Yarrowia lipolytica: one gene and its partner. The protein of the gene in region 2 binds, or shares a complex with, the protein of the main gene of each other region. Links are inferred from orthologs where the notes say so. Each region holds a gene or a part of one and is shown on either strand. Other genes may lie near its edges.

What was found.
Region 1: YALI1_B19044g (region 2) and YALI1_D35768g share a complex: the UniProt entries of both Saccharomyces cerevisiae proteins name them as parts of the GIN4 complex. The link is inferred for Yarrowia lipolytica from reciprocal best matches to the Saccharomyces cerevisiae genes NAP1 and CDC12.

The regions. Positions count from the first base shown.
Region 1 is NC_090773.1:3,575,173-3,578,667, forward strand, and holds YALI1_D35768g (uncharacterized protein), read right to left. Parts: upstream 1,754-3,495; coding exon 1,692-1,753; intron 1,585-1,691; coding exon 501-1,584; downstream 1-500. Other genes in the region: YALI1_D35787g (uncharacterized protein), read left to right, coding at 3,486-3,495. UniProt on the Saccharomyces cerevisiae protein: Septins are GTPases involved in cytokinesis that assemble early in the cell cycle as a patch at the incipient bud site and form a ring approximate 15 minutes before bud emergence, which transforms into an hour-glass shaped collar of cortical filaments that spans both sides of the mother-bud neck.
Region 2 is NC_090771.1:1,902,646-1,906,032, reverse strand, and holds YALI1_B19044g (uncharacterized protein), read left to right. Parts: upstream 1-1,561; coding exon 1,562-2,833; downstream 2,834-3,387. UniProt on the Saccharomyces cerevisiae protein: Acidic protein, which assembles histones into an octamer (in vitro). Involved in the regulation of the localization and the function of the septins during mitosis. Involved in the function of B-type cyclins.

The DNA.
Region 1 (3,495 bases), on a different chromosome or scaffold from region 2:
AAAGTCGTTCACGTTTTTCAAGTATCTCCGACCATGCTTATCCTCCTGGCCACAACCCGAAGAGCACATTGGGCCCAAGTCTTCAAACCTGTGTCTGGCTCACCGAGCTTAGACCAGGGCACACAACTGAGCATTGCGTCCTTCACAATTTTCTAGTCGTATACATACCAGAAGATGGAGAAACGTGTACAGATCTGACTCAATGGTATTGCACTTGTTCTCGTATGGTACAGTACATATGGTCGTAATATACATCCTTCTGATTAGTAATACATTAACATACATCATCACAGCATCAAGATACGCCAGGGTCAGCGAAGGGAGCTGTTAAAACGCGTTCCATAATCCCCGGATATTGTTAGTCGTTCACCTGTGGCACAGTCGTGTCGATTCCTTACGCGTTCGTCACGCTCAACGTCGTCCACGTTCACTCCATTATACATTACAAAATTACCAACATCCTAGATTAGCAAGAGGAACCATAAATAACAAAATCAGATTTATCGCTTACCAGCCTTCATAGTCAACTGCTCGACCTCCTGCTCCAGGGCTCTGATGCTAGCATGGGTCTGCTCGAGGTCCTTGTTGAGTCGATCTCGCTCGGCAATGAGATTTTGCTCCCACTGTCGGAATCGCTGCTCCTCCAGCTTTACCTGCTCAGTGAACATCTTTCGAAGAGCGTCCTCCTCCTCCTTGAACTTAGGGTTGTCGAATTTTCGCGGCCGGGCCTCGCCAAACTTTCTGGTCTCCATCTGTTGGGTTCGGTACGACTCGTAGTGCAGCTCCTCAGTGGAGGCTGTGAGGTCCAGCATGTGGGTTCGGATCAGGAGGTATCGCAACTTCTCAAAGTCACAGTGGTCCTCGTTCTCCACCTCGGCAACTCCCCACAGGTATTGTCGGCCCTTGACCACTCGACCATCAGGGGTCTCCACGTCCTTCTCAGAGGCAATGATGGAGTAGGGCATGGCGTCAATAAGCGACTTGGCGTGCTCAGCAGCTCGCTGGTCCTCCTCATCCACTGAGGGCTGGTAGATTCGAATGTTTTGCGCGATGATGGTGTCTCGAACTCGCTGCTTGAAGATAGCCAGCTCCTTGCGCGACAGTGTGTCAGCCTTGGCGATGACGGGGATCAAGTTCACTCGAGAAGACAGCTTCTTCATGGCCTCAATGTCCAGGGGCTTGAGTCCGTGGCCAGTGGGTCGAATAAAGTAGATACACGCGTGGACTCGCATGTCAATCTTGCCGACACGGTTTGGTTGCTGTTCCTGACGCATGAAAGATTCATGCTGGTCGTCCAGAAATTCAACAATGGGCTGCCAAGAGTCTAGGTTGTTGACATTGTCACCGAATCCGGGAGTGTCGATCACGTTGAGTCGCACTCGGAATCCTCGCTCCTCCAGCTCGGCCTTGGTCACGTCGATCTCCACCGTCTTCTTGATGGGTCGCTTGAACCGCGTCTTGTTGTCTGTGTAGCTCTTGATGGATGTGGAGAAGAGGGTGTTAACGAAGGTGGTCTTTCCGAGACCAGACTCGCCAGCCACCATAAGGGTGAAGGTAGCTCCACTCTTGGCCACAATCTTGTGTCTGTGTTAGTGGTGTATACAATGTCTCCACGTAGGACGAGTGATAGCTCATAACCAGTGTATCCGTGTTTCTGAGCCCATAACCGGTTCACACTTCTCCATACTCACCGCTGGTTTGGCAGATTGGCCACGCCAATGCTCTGAATAGCAGCCTGTGCTGTGGTCGCCATGATTGATAGGTATAATGTCGTGATTAGGATGCGAGAATCCTAGGAGGTGCAGACGTGGAGGTTAGCGTAGGTTACCCGGCCGAGAAATAGGGGGGAAATCAACAATTCGACTACACGTCATAATTTCTAATTAGACAGATTGTAATGTGACCAACAAATATGTAGCGGTGTATTCTCGAGAATTATTACCCTACGTCGTCCCACTCGACCTGCCGTGTTAGGCATTCGTAACCACATTTACATTGAACGCGTGCTGCCAGGCAACCGCCGTCACGTGGATACAACGCGTCCTGTTCCAAAACAACGTGTCTTGGGTTGGGAAACTTTAGAGCCGGCAGTGAGCGTTCCCAGCATGGAATTGGTATGAATGCCGTACGAGTACTTATAATTTGAAAAGAAATTAGATCTAACGTGTTTCGAACAGCTATTTCTGTCTTGTCGGGTCCGCGAAAATACGAAATACGAGGCTGTCTCGCTGCTCTAATGTGTCCTGTAACCTGCCTGACACAACCCCATAGTCAAACGGTTTATCATAGAAGGTGGCTATTGTTGAATTGTGAGTGAAGAATTTTTCGGTGCTAACAATGACCATCATAGACATGTGTCTGAGAGTGTCACCAGCGGTAATATCCGATTGGCTGTTATTTTGGACTGAATCCATCCACTTGTCGGGCGAACTACAGGTACACCTACCACGGTTCGTACGTTTTCAATTATAATTGTAGTCAAGCTTGGTGCCATTGAAGTGTGCAGCTGATAAGGGTTCTGTTGCAAATTGGGACATGTAAGTGCCAATACTTGTACATACTGTACGATACTTACTGCACTTGGTCAGGTATAGCGGTCAGGTATAGCAGATTGTCCCTCTCTCTGTGTACAGTAGTTGCTCATAGCCGGACTTGGTTGCTCTAGTTGTTACCCCAGGTCCATGCATTGATACTTCCACGACGAGTCAAAACAGCCCTTAGAGTCGTGCATACTGTAAAATGTGTCACCTCGTATCCGCCTAAGATAGTATGAGACACTCAAGTTGTGCAGATATACTCTCCTTCCTCCCTCTCATTCAAAGGACCCCAACTCTAGCCCGCTCCCTACAGTACATTCAGAGCTAACAGATGCTGTACGGCGTTATTCTTACAGTAGAGGAACGGTGGCAGGTACAAGTTGCATTAGTGGTCTAGAGCTGCACTGCATGTTGTGAGAGCGGTCGTGCTCACTGTCGCTACAGTATAAGAGATGACCTTGTATCGCTTCATTTATTTGTGCCTGTGACATAGATCGCGTTTTTTTAACTCGGACCTATAGATCAAGATGAAACCCAACCATGTGTTGATAAAGGAGCGAGCACACTCGTTCGTGGCACACTGCGGTGTAAGGGGACCCCCAAGGACCTTACATGAACATTAGTGTGTGGCATTTGGCTAAGAAAGCTGCTTTAGATCCTAGAACAAAAAGTCATCTGAATTCATCTGTTCTTACAGGTACTCGTACGTCATAACACCTCGTTTATTAAAGGCAATTTTTTACCTCAATGGTGGCCTCGCCATAATTCGGAGCTTGACTATTGTGTGTTCACGAGTGAACCTAAATGGCCCTACCCACTGTCTGTTTTAGTGAGTCATTGTGTGACTAATGGAACTAGTACAACATGTAAATTTGGGTCGTGGGATAGGAGGCTGTCCAACATTTGTCTCTTCTTCAACCACTATTCACGGTATTCAGGATATTTTCCATGTTAACCT
Region 2 (3,387 bases):
GTCACTGAGCAATGGAAGAAGCGGGGAAACGGAAGATAGCAATCATACCTTAACGGTGATGAGTCGTGTCTCATGGGAGCATTGTGGGTTATTTGGAACAAGACCTACAGTAATTACAAGCACTTGTACTGGACAATATGATAGTATCGTATCGTAGTGTGATCGTTATGGAAAGTATAAGAGATAGTCCTACAAGTAGTTAGCTTATCACGTGCATATTAACAGATTGTCGTCACACTGGCCAATGTTCTGCCACGATGGCACTTGACGACCACTGTTGTGTTTCTGTCACTCCACAGCACGTGTTGAGTCAATTGGGGTTGGGACCTGGAGGCTTGGTTTCGAATATGCGTGGATCCGTTGGGTCCGAGTTTATGCCATGGGTTTATGGCCATCAAAGATAGATGGGAGTCGGCATTGTCTGCAATCGTCGGAGGTAAGCATGACTCATGATGAGTCACGGTAGCGAGGTGGCAAATTGAGACCGTATCTCTTGATTCTACTCGTACTTGTAGCTTCCTGGTTGATGTCTACGATCACTTCTACTGCATCGTGGCTTCGCGGGATGGGGTAATCTGTCACCCACAGCGTACCCCAGTTTAGGACATGCAACCGTTAAAAGAGTACCAACGTAAAAACAAGTGCTTGTGTGAGTAATACGTGAATTGTCCTGCAAACAACATTTTGACAACTGTGACGTATGCAACTACCCACAAGAGAGTCTACACACACAATTGATTTCAGTCGGTCGTCAACAATCTACGTCGTATCGCCACTACTGTACACACTACTGTACCCCTTCCTTCCCTGTGGTGCCGCGGATTTCATTTTGAGATTAACCCTTGGTCTGCTTGCCAAGGTTGGGGACAGCAGCCAAAGAAGAGGACAGTGGCGAAAAAAGACGCCGCACCGCACGGTTGAAGATGGACTTCGAAGAGAGAATTGAAAAAAAAATGTAATGTACGCACAGGTCAGGCACCAAACAAGGCAGGACCAGCAGCAGGAGGAAGGCTTTGTACTGGCAGAGTGCAGGCACACTTGTCTCCGAAACAGCAGGCAGTCAAGTTCTAGAAACTACCCCTAATATTAGGTGCATTGTCACAGCTACCCCAGAAACCTGAATAATCAATAACCACGACGTCCGAATAACGTGCTCTGGAGATTGGTGTGAGTCTGTCGTCAGGTGCTGGACGTTGTGTGCACAGGGGTGAATGAGGATACATATGGGCGCGCAGGTATCGTAGAAAAGAACACACGTACGTATGACCAGTCAGACGCTCAATTCTCAATTCAGTAGGTCAATGGGGAAGAGACTGTAGAAGTACAGGTTATTAATCAGGATACATGCCATGCTTTTCGTCTTTTTAACCGATTGCTGTTTGTCCTCCTCCATCTCCTCTCCCGCACCTGTTTAGCTCTACCCTGCCTTTTAGCCAAATAAACTCCAATTGGGATACTTGTTCCAACAGACCACCCGCAGCTGCTTTAGATTTTTTCCACACACCCACCAGTCTGCACACAGACACATACCTCACCACACACCTAGTGCACTCAAATAATCATGAGCGAACCCATCAAGTCCAAGCGAATCGAGCAGCTGTCCAGCATTGCCCCCACCCCTCAGAACACCCCGGCCTCCAACGCCTCATCTTTCCTCCAGCGAGCCGCCAACCCTGGAGTGTCTACAATTGCTGAGGATGGTCAGGGGGAGGTCGACCTCGGAGCTCTGAGCCGAGACCCCGCTCTGCTGTCCCATCTTGCCGGTCGACTCAACCAGATGGCCGGTACTTCTTCGGGCTACGTCGATTCTCTGCCTCTGGCTGTGCGACGACGAATCGATGGTCTCAAGGCCCTGCACCAGCAGGCCTCCGTGGTGGAGGACGAGTTCCACAAGGAGATGCTGGAACTGGAGCGAAAGTTCCAGGCCAAGTTTGCCCCCATCTACGCCGAACGAGCCGCCGTCATTGGTGGCGAGAAGGAGGTATCTGAGGAGCAGGTTGAGGCCGGTAAGAAATACGAACAGGAGCGAATGGAGCGAATGTTTGGTGTCGACGGAGACGATGTTGAGGAGGATGAGGACGAGGAGGACGAGGATGCAAAGGACGAAGAAGAGGAGAAGGAGGGTGATGATAAGTCCGATGCCAAGGGTATTCCCTACTTCTGGCTCACCGCCATCCAGAACCTGCCCGGTGCCTCCGGTCTCATTTCCGAGCGAGATAGCGAGGCTCTCAAGTCGCTCATGAATGTGCGAATGGAGTATCTCGACGACAAGCCTGGCTTTGTGCTCATCTTTGACTTCGCCGAGAACGAGTTCTTCACCAACAAGCAGCTCAAGAAGTCGTATTTCTACCTCGACAAGGTGTCTGACACCGGTGAGCTCATGTACGACCACGCCGAGGGTGAAGAGATCGACTGGAAGTCGCCTGAGCAGAACCTGACCATGGAGATCACCAAGCGAAAGCAGCGAAACAAGCACACCAAGGCCACCCGAATCGTGGAGAAGGCCGTCCCCACTGAGTCTTTCTTCACCTTCTTCAGCCCGCCCAAGGCCCTGGATGAGGAGGAAGAGGACGAGGACGAGGAGGTTGACCATGAGGAGCGAGACAATGCTCTGCAGCTTGACTACCAGATTGGTGAGGAAATCAAGGAGCAGCTCATTCCCCGAGCCGTCGACTGGTTCACCGGATTTGCTCTGGAGATGGAGATGGAGCATGGTGACATGGGCGAGTTTGAGGATGAGGACGACGATGAGGATGAGGATGATGACGACGATGATGATGAGGACGACGAGGAGGGAGGCAAGAAGGAGGCCCAGGAGTGCAAACAATCTTAAGGAGTAACATACTAAATAAGACGCGTGGTTACACGCATGATATAGTGTTGATTATATGAAAATATTTTGAGGACGATACATGACTATGTACCGTATGGGCAATACAAGTAGCTCAGACAGTACGTACTGGTTGTAGCTCGAAGGCATAATTGTCCAAGTAGCTCGAAGGTAACATTTAACAGTTGCTACAGCGGGACCGGAGACCGCGAGTAGTATGGCGCTCTAACGACTGTACAGTATTTATTGAACGAAATGTAGCTGTAATATTATGCATTTGAGGAGTTCCCGGCTACGAGTACTGGTACAAGTAGCTACTTTTTGAACTTGTATAACGGTGCAGTAGCTACGATACTGTATTGTACACAATGGCACCAATTTCCCACATTGGCTTTGTAATAATGAAGGCCTTTTCAAATTGGTGGGGGCAAATGCAAGCGAATATAACTGCAACCAATGGCTTGGCTACGTGCTTTTTATTCAAGTGGGGATAGATAGCGGTGGTTTTCTTGTATTATTATTTTTTGGTCACCGTTACTTTTAGTTTTGTTGTCCAA